Danio rerio: one gene and its partners. The protein of the gene in region 4 interacts with the protein of the main gene of each other region in a pairwise test. Links are inferred from orthologs where the notes say so. Each region holds a gene or a part of one and is shown on either strand. Other genes may lie near its edges.

What was found. The genes of interacting proteins can lie anywhere in the genome.
Region 1: the proteins of tex11 (region 4) and snx7 interact in binary tests that used the Homo sapiens proteins (3 or more experiments, as listed by UniProt). The two-hybrid records come from large-scale screens. The link is inferred for Danio rerio from reciprocal best matches to the Homo sapiens genes TEX11 and SNX7.
Region 2: the proteins of tex11 (region 4) and ing3 interact in a two-hybrid assay, tested with the Homo sapiens proteins (2 studies listed by BioGRID). The two-hybrid records come from large-scale screens. The link is inferred for Danio rerio from reciprocal best matches to the Homo sapiens genes TEX11 and ING3.
Region 3: the proteins of tex11 (region 4) and atxn3 interact in binary tests that used the Homo sapiens proteins (3 or more experiments, as listed by UniProt). The link is inferred for Danio rerio from reciprocal best matches to the Homo sapiens genes TEX11 and ATXN3.

Annotation. Positions count from the first base shown.
Region 1 is NC_133199.1:34,413,208-34,417,408, forward strand, and holds the start of snx7 (sorting nexin-7), read right to left. Parts: upstream 2,808-4,201; 5' UTR 2,704-2,807; coding exon 2,581-2,703; intron 1-2,580. UniProt on the Homo sapiens protein: Involved in the regulation of endocytosis and in several stages of intracellular trafficking. Together with SNX4, involved in autophagosome assembly by regulating trafficking and recycling of phospholipid scramblase ATG9A.
Region 2 is NC_133179.1:11,169,872-11,174,094, forward strand, and holds the start of ing3 (inhibitor of growth protein 3), read left to right. Parts: upstream 1-1,416; 5' UTR 1,417-1,550; coding exon 1,551-1,578; intron 1,579-1,707; coding exon 1,708-1,779; intron 1,780-2,653; coding exon 2,654-2,754; intron 2,755-3,698; coding exon 3,699-3,764; intron 3,765-4,025; coding exon 4,026-4,122; intron 4,123-4,223. UniProt on the Homo sapiens protein: Component of the NuA4 histone acetyltransferase (HAT) complex which is involved in transcriptional activation of select genes principally by acetylation of nucleosomal histones H4 and H2A.
Region 3 is NC_133192.1:59,465,274-59,469,568, forward strand, and holds the start of atxn3 (ataxin-3), read left to right. Parts: upstream 1-1,488; 5' UTR 1,489-1,506; coding exon of another isoform or gene 1,507-1,530; 5' UTR 1,531-1,840; coding exon 1,841-1,873; intron 1,874-2,267; coding exon 2,268-2,432; intron 2,433-2,521; coding exon 2,522-2,566; intron 2,567-3,588; coding exon 3,589-3,674; intron 3,675-3,769; coding exon 3,770-3,836; intron 3,837-3,932; coding exon 3,933-4,020; intron 4,021-4,118; coding exon 4,119-4,239; intron 4,240-4,295. Other genes in the region: gamma-aminobutyric acid receptor subunit rho-1, read right to left, coding at 1-235. UniProt on the Homo sapiens protein: Deubiquitinating enzyme involved in protein homeostasis maintenance, transcription, cytoskeleton regulation, myogenesis and degradation of misfolded chaperone substrates.
Region 4 is NC_133189.1:37,595,492-37,599,685, reverse strand, and holds the start of tex11 (testis-expressed protein 11), read right to left. Parts: upstream 2,808-4,194; 5' UTR 2,685-2,807; coding exon 2,657-2,684; intron 2,486-2,656; exon of another isoform or gene 2,424-2,485; coding exon 2,308-2,423; exon of another isoform or gene 2,253-2,307; intron 2,119-2,252; coding exon 2,034-2,118; intron 1-2,033. UniProt on the Homo sapiens protein: Regulator of crossing-over during meiosis. Involved in initiation and/or maintenance of chromosome synapsis and formation of crossovers.

The DNA of each region.
Region 1 (4,201 bases), on a different chromosome or scaffold from region 4:
TTTTTTTAAGCTTAAGTGGTTGAAGTTGTGCCAAATTATTTTAAAAAGTATGCTTGACTTAAAACAATCGTTTCAGTCAACTTAAAAAAAAAATTGAATTGGCACAACTTTAACCACTGAAGCTTAAACTCAAAATTTCTTTGCAGCCGGTTGCTTTACAATTTTAAGTTAACTTAGCTTTATATTTTTTTTATAGTGTATATAGACAGGAAAAAAATAAGTAGTGACTGCAGGTGGAAGTAGTGGAGTAAAAGTACCAACATTACATTAAAAATACACTCAAGAGAAAGTAAAAGTCCACATTTTTAAAACTACTTGGTAAATTACAATTTCTGAGAAAAACTACTCAATTACAGTAGTTTGGGTTTTTGTAATTTGTTACTTTACACCACAGATGCATAGACATTTTTTATAATGTTCCAACTTTCCACACATTGTAATTATCTTAAACTCACCATAATAAATGGTTCTCTAATTGTTGCTAAACCACCAAACACCTACGTGATGTCATTTCAAGAGTACATCATTATACCATACATATCATTTCCTTAAACTTGCTTTGCAAGCTGTCGTATTTTGATCACAGTAAAAAAACAGATTTTCATAGTGTTTGGCTATCTTTTCCTTGGCCAAACACACACGCATGCAAATCCCTCTCGTTCAGCCACAGCTGCTGGGAAAGAAGCCTGTGCGTCTGTTTCCTGTCATAACAAACCGGTCCATAGTCAGCAGAAACGCCACTGCTGCTTTACCCTACAAACATCCCACTTTCATTCATAACAACCATTGCTAATGTGAACTACTACACTAGCTGTGCACAGCACTTTGGATACATTGTATTGTGCTTAAATGTAATAAATAAATAAATAAATAAATAAATAAATAAATAAATAAATAAATAAAAAATGTTGTTGTGGTAGCTGTAAAAAACTTGAATGCTCATCAAGTCTAACATGCCTGAAAGTTTGAAATCGTTTACCGCTTTTGGTTAAGCGATCTGAATTGTTGTTAGGGTGTTTTAACATTATGCATTGGTATAGCATTTTTGATGCTTGCTCTGTGTTATTACAGTATTCTGCCTAGCTGTTATGGTGATTTAATGATTACTAAGCATTAATCAGTTGTTTTTCTAGGGTGTTTGCTACGCTTTTCTTAGGGTGCACTATCTACTTAGCTTTGCTAGCTGCCCTAACTACTTGCTCTATTTATCAAGCGTAGCTAGGGTGCTCTTTCTAGGTGTTAGGGTGTTTATATTATTGATAGGGTGTTCTAAGTGTTGCTAGAGTGTTCTGTCTAGTTTCTAAGGTGTTAACTGTTGTTAGGTGTAAATAGGATTTGACTACTTTCTTGGAATTGCTAGCTATTAGCTCACCAAAAAAATTAACACACTGTCATCATTTACCTACCTCAAGTGGTTCCAAACACGTTTGAGTTTATTTATTCTGTTGAGCGCAAATGAGGTTTTTACTTTGAACAATGTTGGAAACTTTTAGCAAATGGCATCTGTAGTAGGTTACCAAAACTCTAACACATTTTTTTGTATTCAACTTAATTTTTACTTAGTTTTTCTTTCTTTCTTTTGTGGGGTAAACTAACTATTGCCAAGCAGTTGATGTTCTAACTTCTTGTTGGGTGTTGCCAGGGTGTTTTAAGTGTTGCTAAGCATTGATATAACATTCTGACCACTTGCTATGTGTCCTGCATGCTTGCTAGCATCTCTGGGTGACTGTCAAAGTAGGCATTTATAAGGTCTTCAGCCAATTTGTTAATAGGGTGTACTTCCAAGTTTGCAGAATTCAGGTAAAGTTTAAAAATAAAATCACATTCTTAATTTTAACGGTCCCTATATTGTTTACCATGCTAATTTGAATATTGGCTCTGAAATTTAAGTATGGCTTCAAAACATTATTCACACATTTATTCAGTGACAACTTCTGACACACTCCCTATATTGTTTACAATGGTACTTTGAATATTCGGTCTAAAATCACCGTATAGTACGACTTGAAAACAACATAAACACTGTTTATTTGACTGTGAACAATGCTGTACTTTGATAGTCATTGTTGCTAATATGATTTCGCTATTTAGAGCCTGCAAATAATATTTTTATTAAATTATATTATTAAGGGGAAAATCCGAATGTGCGAATATAAATCCGATTTTACCTCTGTGACCCCACTTTGGGAACCACTGAACTGTACTAGTTACTAGACATTGAATGACTCACTACGTTACTAGACAGATAAGATCAGTGTCAGTGAAACAAACACAGCTGTATCTGTACTTAATTAGATGAGGTTTATTTATTTAAAATGGCATCAAATGGCGTTTAAAGCAGTGAGGTCAACCAGAAACCAACAGTAAAAACTACGCTGGAGTTTTTTAAGGGAAAAAAACATGGCTTGACAGCGCCTGATCGCTGACCTTTGAAACTTCATATCTCAGCAAAACACACTGATTCAGTGAGAAAACGACAGAGAGGTTTGATTAGTCACGTATAAAGTAGAATCAAAAGATATAAACTCTAGTTATGTGTCTGCGATCAATCTCTGTTTTAACCAGTTGATGTTTGATTACCTTACTGAAAACTTCCAAGTCATCGTCTTCATCTAGATCTAACATTTGCCCGCTCATGTCAGCAGGGATCGCGACCGAAGCATTGCCCGATGACACGGTGTTGTCGACGGCTGGTACACTCATCGCTGCTCTTATCGCTACTTTGCTACAAGTTTTCTGGACTTCATCAGTTTTTTTTTCCGCACAACTCTCAAAAAGCTCAGCTGAGGCGGAGCGGGCTCCACTGCGCAGAATCGGAAACCGCGGAACAGGGAAAGAGCCGAGAGTTGAGGCGTGTGTGGACGCCCACGTGAAGGAGTGTGTGTTTACGGTATTTGCCTCAATATTTTGATGGTTGGTTTTTGTCCAGCAGCTTGTGCCTTTAAATGTTATACGAATTTGAGCCGTGAAATAATAGCGATGAAAATAGAAAAAATGTTTTTAAGTTTATATGTCATCTGTTTACATAATTTAAAGTGCACTTTGGATAGTTATTATTATAGTATTAATGTTATGATGGTTGGTTTTTGGCCAACAGCTCGTGCCTTTGACTATTAAACGAATAAGAACCGTGAAATAACAGCAATGCAAATAAGAAAATGTTTATACGTGTAAAGGTTTATATTTACATAATTAAAAATGGACTTTGGGTAGGAAACTATATTATGATGGTTGCAGGGGCGGAGTCAGTGATTTGGGGGCCCTAAGCAATTCCAGCTATGGGGCCCAAAAGTTTGTACTTTAATTTATTCTTAATTGATTTATTTTGCTTTTTTCTTATGTCACTCAATCTCCTTTTCTATATTTTGTCTTAATGCAAAAATAAAAATAAAAAATGCGTGTATAGAATCTAAATGATTTGTCTTTTTTAAGTTTATTCACAACTAAAATAAATATAATTTTTTATAGTTTCAATTACAAATAAATTTTAAATATATATAAAAAAAATTATTACGTTTTTAAACTAAACCCTTACCTAATTTGACTGCTGGACTGCTCCATGATTGAGGGTGGGGGGAAACATTTGCGCAGAAGTAATAAAAATTAAGCTTTTATTTTTTTAGACCGTCGCTATAAAAAATATGATTGTAAACGATGTTAAAAATAATTTATAGATACAATTTACACTTCTAGGTATTTATTTAGGGGCCCTCAGATTTCCTGGGGCCCTAAGCATCCGCTTACCTTGCTAATTGGTTAAATCCACCCCTGGACGGTTGGTACAGTGTTAATGTTATGATAGCTGAAAACTGTTCCTGTTTTTAAATGCTATTTGAACCATGAAATAGGGAAACTATTTATTTTGAAGGTTTATTAAGTTTATTTACATAATTTAAAGTGCACTTTGAGTATGAAACTGTATCATGATCAGTTTTAGGATTCCAGTTTGTGTTATAATCTGTGTGCAAACAAACATTTACTGATTTTAGTTGTGGTCATGTAGGCATATATCTGTTTTTACAGTAAATGGTATTTGTTCATGGTTTTTATGTGTGAAGTAATGATTTAATTAAAATGACTATGAACAGGGTGTCCGCTGGATCTTAATGTCTTAAATTTCCAAAACAAAATTCATAAAAATGTTGTGCTGTAGGACCTACAGCACAACATTTTTATGAATTTTGTAGGACTTAAATAATGT
Region 2 (4,223 bases), on a different chromosome or scaffold from region 4:
TTATTTGATCTAAATTGAGCGCAGAGGTGCAATGTCACTTTGCAGAACAGTTCATGTCTACAGCTGTGCGGTAATTCTGTCTTGGAAATAAAGGGTTTTAATGGGATGTTTTATAAAAGCCTCTTACACCACGACTGAACCAAATCATAACTGTCTACAATAAACGTGGGGTCAGGCTGAGGTTTCTTCCTCTCCAGAGACAGCTGGGCAGTTACATTGTCTTCCACTGTTGTGCAAAAGCCTCTTACACACAGACAGAAGCACTAAGTTGCCAGAACTGTCATTAAATATTGCAGTCAGTGCTGCCCTCCAAAGGCCAAAGCTGCATTAAACCTGCAGTCTTCAAACTAGTCTTCTATGTCTCTAATAACCATGAGGATACAAAATTAAGAGACACAAAACATTTGAATTATTTCTATAAGTTATACAATTTAGTAACTTCTTTAACACTGCTACTGATCTACAACAGGGGTGTCCAAACTCAATCCTGGAGGGCCGATGTCCTGCAAAGTTTAGTTCCAACCCCAATCAGACACACCTTAGCTAGGTAATCAAGCTCTTACTAGGCTTTCTAGAAACATCCATGCAGGTGTGTTGAGGCAAGTTGGAGCTAAATCCTGCAGGACACCGGCCCTCCAGTACCGAGTTTGGACATACCTGATTTACAAATTAAACTACAGATTTTCTAATGATAAAACATATATTTCAAAAGTATGTAAAATGTACTTGAAACAATTATTAGTGTAAAATTGACTTTTTTGATTGTATTACTGCAATGTTTTATACTCTGCATGCTTTATTTATCATTTACATCTTTCTCTTCATGTTATACATAATCATTCTTTTGTAAATGAAAATGTATTCAAAAAGAATGCTACTATAAAATAATCTACAAGTTTTTGTCTTAAAATCAGTGAAATATGTTTAAGTAATGTTTATGTGGCCAATAAATGATATAGCCTTTATCTCTGTGGAAATTTACTTTAATTTTACATGTTAGTTACTTTATTTGCTTTATATGCTTTTTTATTTTCTTAAAGATTGAACGTTTCTGTTATGTCAGTTTTATTTAAAAAATGAATTTATCTGTTAAACAATTGTGTCTAAACAATTATATTTACGTGATATAATATCTAATGTAAACAAGTATGTTTAGAACAGAACGAAAATGGCTATTTATTTATTTATTTATTTATTTATCTATTTATTTATTTATATATATATACCTACCTCTTATTGGGAGATGAGCAAATCGTACTAAAATGTACAAAGTACTAAAAGTTACAAAAGGCAGATTGCGTTGGACATCCCACAATGCGCTTGACGTAGTTTCAACTGAAAGAACTACAAGTTCCATAAAAACGATTTTCATAAAGAGTGCAGCTTCCGCGCAACTCCACCATCGTCCAATCAGATCCCACGCCCTTCACGTAAGCCCCTCCCCCGCCAGCTTGTGTTTTTTCCTCCCCTTCAGTTCTCCGCTGCCCGCGACGCCATATTGCCGAAAAACACCCTTTCTCTGAAACCTCCGAAAAACCATCTCCGCCAGAATGTTGTACCTTGAGGACTACCTCGAAAGTGAGTAAAACAGCTCTTTTATCTATATATGTTCGTATTATCGTAAGTAGGTGTTTTAGAGGGTGGTTTAGGGCGTGTTTTGCTGTCACATCCGTTAGCTTGTAACGCGGTTGTTCTTCTTCCCGGCAGTGATCGAGCAGCTACCCATGGATCTCCGCGACAGGTTTACGGAAATGAGAGAGATGGACCTGCAAGTGCAGAGTACGGTTTCAGTTTAAACTCACTTTTGTGCCTTAGAACACCACAGCTGACTTAAACTAACGTAAAGAGCCTTTCATATCAGTGGAGATCTGTTTGGTGAATTTGCAAGCATAATAAAAGCATGCATGTGTTGTGATGTTGCACACTGATGTTAAGTGCAATTAGAGCATGTGGAAGTTGAGTAACACCAGTGTCACCTAAACCAGGGAAAACTTAGGATACATTATTGCATTGAAATGCATTTTTTTGGTCACCCCAAGTAATTTAGAGTCTGACAGTGCCCCCATTGACAAGATTTTGATTGTCTTCATCACACGGGAACACAGTTTACTTATAGCAAATGCATGTATTTGTTAACAGATTAAGGTTTTGCATCAACCATAAACATGCATAGGTACTCATTCTAGTTAGAAATGTATATATTTCTAATTAAATCATTTTTACAAAACAGTTATCACAAAGACATTTCTTCTTGGAAATGTTATAGACAGTTTTCATTACATGTAATTTCCCGGTTACATTTCCCACCAAAATCATAAGGAAAGACTAATATTATTAAATCAATGTTTATATGTGTATATTCAAGTCTAGTTTTGTAGTTATAATTAAGATAAACCTAATTTACATCAGTTAAATATTTTTATATTATATAGTTTTAAATAATTTCATTTTATTTTGTGGTGATTGGGATCTGGATATTTTTCCACAGCTTTAGCAGTGATTCATGAATCACCCTTTGTAGGGGTTGCACCTACAGCCTTTTAATGATCTACTGAGATCTTTAACCAACCATAGACTTCCACAGTCGCCATCTGTGTGGTTGTGAGCCAAGTCGGGCTCTTGACTTCACTTTTGATCATGTTCCTTTGTTCAGATGCGATGGATCAGCTTGAGCAGCGGGTCAATGAGTTTTTTACTAATGCCAAGAAGAACAAGCCTGAATGGAGGGAAGAACAGATGGAAATCATCAAAAAGGTAAAGAACAGATGATGTGCACTTCAGTCGAACTGAGTGTTCTGCAGGTGATAATAATGTAGTATGAGATCTTTTAATGTTGATAATGCTTTTCCTTATTTGAACCATCAGTGTTTTTGGGTTGGACACTTTTTATTGACTCTTTTCAAAATTTAAATTAAACAAAAGGGGGGGAAAAGCAATATATGACATTTTAAAATGAATGGATATTAAATATTACAACCACACTTTACAATACAGTTCCAGTATAGTTAATTTATTTATTACCATTAACTAAGGATGAACAATATTTGCATATTATGAATTAATCATAGTCCTACGTTTAGTAATGTGTTATTAAAATCCATGCTTTTGCTTGTTAACATTAGTTAATCAACTGAGTTACCAAGTACTAGCAATAAACAATTGTATTTTATGTTAAAAAAGATGAATAAATACTGTAATAAATATATTGCTTATTATTTGTTAATGTTAGTAAGTAATTGCATTAGCTAATGTTTTCCAATGCAATCTTATTGTGAAGTGTTACCCATATTGTTTACTCCCGGAATCAGCTGCAAAATATATTGAACAATAAAAATTATATTGCAATTTAATTTAATAAAACATCTAAACTACATTCTAAGTGAAGCACAACATTTGCTTAACTGATATAATAAAGTTTGTATGTATAAGATGAGATCTTTACGCTGAAACTGACAGTGCATATTTTTTGTTACTAGCAAGATATGATATATTATTTTTTTGTTTTTATTTCATTTGTTATTCAATATTTTCCTTATTTTCATTATTATTTTTTAAATTGCATAATGATGAAATAATGATGAAATCATGATGAAACAACTGCTGGTTAAGTCATAACAATGATTGATAAAAAATTAATAATGGATAGTTTTGCATTAGAAGATAATATGCTTTCCTAATGATCTCTTTCTGTTTACCAGGACTACTATAAAGCTTTAGAAGATGCGGATGAAAAGGTCCAATTAGCCAATCAAATTTATGACCTGGTGAGTAATTTACTGTAACTAGCAACACTAGCCTTTGTGTCAGTACTGTATGGTCCCAGTAGGTGGCAGCACATCACTAATAGTAAAAAGCCAATGGATTTCTGGGAAGCTTTTTTGTTTGCTATTTAAATGCATACTAATGCTTTTTCGTGAGATTTAATAGACGTTTTTAAATACATTTTTCCTAATGAGAAGTGACATTTGAACTTGTGTGTGGGTTTGTGTAATCCGTTGTGTGTTGATCTTGTGCCTCTTATGTAGGTTGATAGACATTTACGGAAGTTGGATCAGGAGTTGGCAAAGTTTAAAATGGAGTTGGAAGCAGATAACGCTGGCATCACAGAGATCCTGGAAAGACGTGAGTGACGCCTCTCAATCACCTTTTTTACAGATAACTGGCTAATTTCAAAAGATAAAAAAGGTAGGAGTTGGCAAGTTTTTAAAATCAGTGTAAATCAT
Region 3 (4,295 bases), on a different chromosome or scaffold from region 4:
CAGCCGGACCCCATGGCTTCTGCTCCGCTCGCTCGCTCTGCTTAATCTGCACGCTGGGAAAAACAATTTGGACTAAACCCATAAATCCCTGCGCGTCAGATGGCACAGATCTGATCCTGCGGCGCTGAATCTGCTCTGTTTGCCATGCGCCGCCCCGAACCAATTCTCCTAATGATGGTGTGTTTGGCATTTGCATTTGCATGGCCAGGTCAGTCGTGTGGAGGATCAACTTCATGACTGTATGCTCTGCAGAAACTGCTTTACTTACTCAGAGTTTCTGTCTTGTGTTTGGTCCAAATATCTTTCAATTCTTTAAGAAAGAAGCATTCTCTAGACCAGCACAGCATATTAAAATCACCAGTCCAGCGCACCTGAAATATAAGTGAAAAAGCCTCTATTGAGATGACTATTGCTGTAAAACAGCAGGATTGTGCAGCGCACTTGTGAAAGTCAGTATTTCAATGGTAATAAAGGCTTTTAAACTTTTATCCTCCTCCTCGAATGCCTTGGAGGTCTGATCTTTTAGAAATCTTTAGATATTTGGACCAGAAACAAGATTAAAAACTCTAAGAAGATCATTTTTGCAGTGTAGAAATGAACTGAAATGGTTCTGAAGTGTTGTGTTGGATCAAGACATCGAGAGCCCCTCTCTCTGTGGACATAAACTGTCCTCTGTGTGGTTCGGATCAATGCAGTGTCCAGAACCCCTTCAGACGCTCCAGATTTCTGCTTCTGGATGACTGATTGACTGATTGACTACACGTGTTGAGCGCTGTGGCAGATGTCTGACAGACTCCACTGCTGCAGGATCTGTTTTATTTTAAGATGTTTCTCTCTGCCTCACGGGTCTGCATGTGTTTCCAGGCTCAGGCTCCATCTTTAAACACTCCCTCATTCACATTAACACGCGTGTGTTGGGGTTCACAGTAGCCGTTTTCAAGCTTCCTATAATGTGTTGAGCAGAGAAACTGGCGTGAATGCAGCTGAGCAGATGACACACACACATCACTGAGCAGATGACACACACACACATCACTGAGATGTCTGTTTGATGTTTGTGCTTACACAAATCTACTAGACATCAGTAAAAAGTCATTTGTGTCTTGAAGTGAATATTTTCAAAGTTCTCAAAAGTGTGAATACTTTAAAAAACATTAAATAATCGAATTACCTCATTTAAAACAAATAAGTTCTGCGTTTAATCAGGATCTGTCCACATGAGGTGTAGCGCAGCGCGCCACTGGGCGGCGTTCCTGATGTTTTGATTCGTCACGTGACAAGCAGAACGGTTAGAAAGTAACATCAGTAAATGTCCTGCTAAATTATTTATATCGACTAAACGTGTAATTCAATTGATAGTGTATCGGAGATCTTAATCTGTCGATTTTAAACGCAGCCTTGCCGCAGTTTTTATTCAAAGAGCGCTTGTTTTTAGGTGACTCTTATTCTGACATGTTTTGACGCGTCGCTGTTTCCGTCAGTTCCGTCATTCACACACTTTCAAACATGGAGTCTATATTCCACGAAAAAGTAAGAATCGCTTTCAGATAATGCTGTGTATGAGTGATGTGTAGATGATCTGGGAGAGCTTCTCCTGCAGGAGGGCAGATCTGTCGAGTTCAGTCTGCTGCTCCGGCTTGATATCTCTGAGGCGCTCGTGGACTTTTATCGAGTGTCAACATCCGACACGGGCAGACAGACAGTCCAGCACATGTGTGTTTACCGCCAGAGCGGCTCCTCTTCACTGCTGCACTCCGCCACACAGCGCTGTAGAGGAGGACACTGAGCCTGTAGACTGAGGGAGTGCTGGAGAGTGTGTCTGAGCTGAAGGAAACACGACATGAGCAGAGTTTACACGACGAGGATGATATGTGTGTGTGTGGTGTGTGTGTGTGTGTGTGTGTGTGTGGTGTGTGTGTGTGTGTGTGTGTGTGTGTGTGTGTGTGTGTGTGTGTGTTGTGAAAGAGTTTGTGAGTGAGTGAAACAAAGAAAGAAATGTAGAGTCTGAGTGAGAGTGTGTGTGTAAGAGAGCAAGAAAGTGTGTGTTTATGTTTGTTGACAAAGAGTGTGTAGTGTATGTGTGAAACAGATTTTGTGTGTGTGTGTGTGTGTGTGTTACAGTAGGAGTACTCTGTGCAGCATGATGATGATGATGATGATGATCATGGTGTGTGTGTGTGTTACAGCAGGAGGATGATGATGATGATGATGATGATGATGTTGATGTTGTTGTGTGTTTACTGTGTGTATGTGTGTGTGTGTTACAGCAGGAGGGCTCTCTGTGCGCGCAGCACTGCCTGAATAACCTGCTGCAGGGCGAGTACTTCAGCCCGGTGGAGCTCTCCTCTATAGCACAGCAGCTGGACGAGGAGGAGCGCATGCGCATGGCGGAGGGAGGAGTGCAGACGGAGGAGTACCGCACATTCCTGCAGGTACACACTCACACACACACACACACACACACACACTCACACACAGAGCTCAGGGTCTCAGTGTAACCTGCTGTGTTCTGTGTGTGCAGCAGCCGTCAGGGAACATGGACGACAGCGGCTTCTTCTCCATCCAGGTCAGTCATAGTTACCCGTTACTCCTCACAAACACTACAACAACAAATCAGACAAAGCTGCTGGGACAGACGGAAAACACGAACCCTCTGCTGTCATTCAGACTGCAGAAACAGGGCGGTGATCAGGTGATCTGCTGGATGATGATGTGATGTCCACAGGTGATGGTGATGGTGATCTGCTCATCAGGAAAGCTCTAGTGCTTTAGGAGCAGAGATGAGTCGAGGATCTCCAGTTTGAGCACAGATATGAGAGAATATGAGTGAAGTGTGTGAACACAATGATCCTCAGAGGAAGACATGTGGAGATTTCACCTTCAGCAGTGCAGAACAGCATTAAAGACTGAAGGAGTCTGGAGGAAGCCCTATGTTAACAGTGTCCAGCAGCGCTTCTCTAGGCTCTGGGCGTCTGGGATGGAGCATCACACAGTGGAGACGTGTCCTGTGCTCAGATGAAGCAGAGTTTCAGGTGTTTCTGGGAGAAATGGACGCCGTGTGCTCCAGACCACAGAAGAAGAGGATCATCCAGACTGACACCAGCAGCAGGCCGGCTCTGTCATGGTCTGGGGTTGTGTCGGTGCTCTGGGCAGAGGTGACCTGCTCTTCTGTGATGCTCCAGTAATGCTGAACAGCACAGAGAGATTCTGGACCCGCATTACAGAGTCCTGCTGCGGAGGAAGAGGAGACAGACACTGGACTGGCCTGCCTGCAGCCCCGACCTGTCTCCAATAGAGAATGTGTGGCATGAAGAGCCCGTACTGTTGCCCACATTAAGACTGGTTTGTCTTTAGTGCATAAACAGCTTACCAGTGTGGTGAAGAGGAACAGCAGCAGCAGCAGCAGCACACACTGCTGAACGCTTCACTGACACGGCTCACTCTGACATGTGCTGCAGAAACCAACACTGGAATACGTGGAAAACAAACGATGATGATGATGATGATGAACACATGAATTAAATGTTTATAGAGACCTGTGTGTGTTTGTGTGTGTGTGTGTGTGTGTGTGTGTGTGTGTGTGTGCAGGTGATCAGCAATGCTCTGGGTGTGTGGGGTCTGGAGATCGTCCTCTTCAACAGCAGAGAGTACCAGCAGCTGCAGATGGACCCCATGTGAGTGTGTGAGCGCTGTATCCTCTATGTGTGTGTGTGTGTGTGTGTGTGTGTGTCTCCTCTGCACACACTCATCCTCCTCTGCTGTCTTTCAGGCATGAGAAGGCCTTCATCTGCAACTATAAGGAGCACTGGTTCACCGTGCGCAAGCTGGGACAGCAGGTGTGTGTGTGTGTGTGTGTGTGTGTGTTCAGGGTCAGAAAGGTGTGTGTTTGTTGACTCTTTCTTTCTCTCTCTGTGTGTTTGTGTGTGTGTCAGTGGTTTAACCTGAACTCTCTGCTGACGGGTCCGGAGCTGATCTCAGACACATACCTGGCCCTGTTCCTCGCACAGCTGCAGCAGGAGGGTAACACTCATTATCGTGTGTGTGTGTGTGTGTGTGTGTGTGTGTGTGTGTGTGTGTGTGTGTGTGTCCGCTTCAGCGCTGCTCTTGTCCTCCTGCAGGTTACTCTATATTTGTGATTCGGGGGAATCTGCCGGAGTGTGAAGCGGATCAGATCCTGCGCATCATGAGGGTGGAGCAGCAGCAGCGGCCCAAGCTGATCGGAGAGGAGGAGACGCAGAGGTACACACACACACACACACACACACACACACACACACACACACACACACACACAC
Region 4 (4,194 bases):
AATGCATCTAAGGTTTCTTGTGTAAAAGTCACAAATTGTACTGTAAAATGTTGCTATAAATGTCCAAAATATTATTAATTATATAGCTCTATTGCATTAGCACATTTTATAATATATTAACTATATACACATTTATATAATTATTTATTTTTAACAACATATTAACAAAATCTGCATCTATTAATTGACATTTTGCATAATTAATTGATTAAATTTAATAATGTTTATACTAAAATTATTGTACTATCGTTAAATTATGTTTTTTTTTTTTTTTTACAATTGTTTGTCTTCTTTATACTAGTAGAAGCCAATATTCTCGACACCAGTGGTGCTCAACCCTGTTCCTGGATATCGACCTTCCTGCAAAGTTCAGCTCCAACCCTGATCAAACACACTTGAACCAATTAATTAGGACCTGAACAGCACTTGATAATTACAGGCAGGTGTATTTCATATGGGTTGCAACTGAAATCTGCAGGGAGGTCGAACTTCAGGAACAGGGTTGGTCACACCTGCTCTACACTTACCAATTTTTACAGACTGTTCAAAAGTGGAAAGGAGCGTAGCTGCAGTAATGGTGGCTGAACATCGTTATGAAATTAGTCTGCCAAAAGAATGCTCAATATTCATAGCTGAAGCCTGTGCTTTACTTTTACTTGGAATATATAGAAAATGTCCAACAAAAGAATAATTTTTCAGACTCCAAATCATGCCTCCAAGTGACGGAATCTTCAAAAAATGATCATCCTTTCATTGATAATGTTTAACTAAAGTTCACCATCTACAAAACCAGTTTTGTCATACCATTTTTTATTGGGTTCCAGGACATCTTGTACTTTCAGGAAATGAGTGAGCTGATGTGGCTGCTAAGGATGCTTTGAAACAAGTGGTGAACAAATGCCAGAGATGAGACATTTTATCAATGTTTACATTTTAAATAAGTGGCAAGAGGAGTGGGATGCATTGGAAAATAACAAATTGTATGAAATACAACCTAAAATCTCACGCAAAGTTTTAAGACATTTTAAAACTAGACTTGGTTAAACACTAAACATCTTATTTAATTTATGTACAAATTTTTGTTCATATTTGATTGGATACTTGTAACTGAAATGTTCTTGCCATGACAATAGCTTTAATTGGTGACATGGCATTAAATTAAAATATATACTGGATTTAGTGATTCAGGGGCCCTAAGCAATTCTGGGTATGGGGCCCTAGCACTGAAACTCAAAACATTCTCTTATACATTTTTTTTCTCTGTAGATTATTATTATTGTAAATAAACAGCATGTTAAAGTATTTAAATAAATAAATATATATAAAAAGTATATAAAAAAGTATATTTTCTATATTTTTATATTTACTGGAAGCTTTTTCTTTTTTATTTAAAATTAAATGTAATACATTCACAAATAAAAAAAAAAAACAAGTAATTTGCAACTATTTAAACTAAATGAGCCATTTTGGTGAAAAGATTTTGATATAAGTAAATAAAAAAGTTTTAACAAATTTAATTCACGATCATTTAAGTTAACTGAATAATTGCTGTTTGTGAATCGGCAGCCGTTCATTTTCACTGAGCAATGTTATTTTATTTGAACAGACTCTATACACAGATTTTACAACATATGATTTAAAAAATGTATAAACGAGATATATGATTAATATAGGCTTCTTGGCATTGGTCAGGGACCCATAATTCCCTGGGGCCCTAGGCGGCTGCTAACTTTGATTATTGATTAAGTCCGCTCCTGCTAGTATGTTCATTTGTGCGTCCATAAAAGGCTAATTTAAACATGTTTAAAATTGTATTAACTACATTGACCAATTATTTTAATTTATTAAACATTTCTACATTTCCCAGACTACAGATTGAAACCCCCAACAGTATTAAATAGATACTTAATACAGGCAAGTAAAATCATTATTAATTATAATTATTAGGCCTAATTAATACATGTATTATTATTTAAAAAAAAATCTAATTTATATTAAAGTTAATAAAACAAAAGACTAATACAAGGACAGACCTTTGGCCTTCTGCTCTTCTGTAATTGAGGTGCCAACACGTTTGGTGACAGCCCAGTTCCACAACTGGATGGCGATTTCCTCCAGCTACAAAAACAACTAAATTATTAAATATTGAACCACAATTACCTGATTTCTGTGTAAGATGTTAACTTAAAATACGAAATAATATATATTTATGTCGAGAACAAAATAAAGACGTCATGTCTTCAAAACACAACGCTACAAGATCCCTGGGGGCTTCCGTAGATTTCAAAAGAAGTGTATTTTCCACACCTGTGAATCCTGTAGTTTTGCAGCTTCATCTAGAGTTAAAATCTCCTTGAAGAGGGAATCAATCACTTCATCCAAGTCTGAATGGCTCTGTCTGTGGAGGAGTTTCTCTGACAGGTCTGTGAAAGGAACGTCAAACCACGAAATATCTTCACATAACCTGTTAAATTACTTACAAAAGGTAAGTTGAAACTGTTATTTGTCATTATATTAATATCACTTAAAATATGTAAGATAAATAATTGTTTTGTAAAAAAACACAATAGCTCATCTCATAGTAAATACACAATAGCGTATCTTTTATACATTGAATTGACTGGTACCACATATCTTTCTTTTACCGCAAACGTACCTTTTACTTCGACAGCAAACTGCTCCATATTATATTTTGTGTATCTAAAAAATCTGAAGTAATTTTAAAAGGTTGTATTTTGTATGAAGTTTCTGTGTGACTGGAAAAAAACCAACGCTGCCCCTCGCGACCGCTCCCCGCCAAAACACGCACGAGGACGCGCTTCAGCCGGAGTGTAATACCGCTGAGTGACCGCAAGGTGGTGTCTCACACACGGTTTTTAACTTGCTGTTACTCATCATGTCTCCCTAAAATATTTCATTCAGGTTCACACAATTTATTTGGCGTGGTGAAGCCAAGATTAATAATCCAGCCTCATTAATATTAACAACTACAATCATTTTGCTATTTGGACATCACTCATATGCTATAAAATTGCATGTGTCTGTATATAATAACTGCTATTTGATTGTAACTTAAGTAACTGAGGTTTACTTAATTAAAGTAATGCAATTATGTGATTGTAATGCAAAAATGTGCATCTTTTGTAAAGCTGCATTGAAACAATAATTACTGTAAAAAGCTCTGTACAAATAAACTTAAATTTAATATTTAGTTACATTATAGCGCACAATTTCCACTATATTAAATGCACTTTTATTATAAATAGTAATAGAATATAAAAATGAAATATAAAAGCCTCAGAAACAAGCGCTCTAAATAATATTTTAAGATAAATGGAGAACTAGGCCTGCTCTTTTGATATTCAGAATTTCCGTGTTGAAAGGTCTGGCCCATTACATAGTATAATAGCATTGTTTAAACATAATATTCATCACCTTCTGCTAGTTAAAACCTCATTCACCCCAAAGAAAGTATGTGCTGATAACGCTGAGCTTTTTGTTTTAACAGGGGAGGTCATTGTTGAGCTGAAGGAAAGAGCTCAAGCTGCGTACACAGAATGGTTTGTGAAGTCTCTTATTGTGTTCACGGCACTAGATTCAAAAATAAGATGTCTTAAAAGCCCACTCCTCTGCATGCTCGGCTTCCAGCAATTGTTTCTGCCTGAGTCTTATCTAGCCACCGTACTGGTCTGAGGGAAATGTGATCAGTTCAGAGGGCTTGATTGCACAGGAGAACGAAAAAAACAAACATGATCCTTGTGACATGCGGTCAGAGAGATGGACACAAGATTTCCTAAAGTCTGCAACATAAATAATATTAAAATAATAATAAACAGGCGTATTTATACATCTGTGCCAGGTTTAAAAATATTTCATCTCACAGTTAGACTTGGGTATGAAAGGTCAATGCTAGGCCGAATATTGTGTATTCGAGAAATATCTCTGTAAAACATCTGCTGCCAAACCTGAAGACATAACCTGAAATGTATTGTCTATAAATGCTTTGGGAAAAAAAGAAAAAGGTAAAAAATGACTAGCTTTTATTTTACAAGAATTTATCTCTTAATCTTTCTAATTCAAAAACTAAATGTTGCAATTTACTGCATAATACACTTTACATGGTGGCTTTTATCAGCATTTAAATCTGCATTTAAATCTGTTAACATTAAATACCAATGAACATCTGTAATCTAA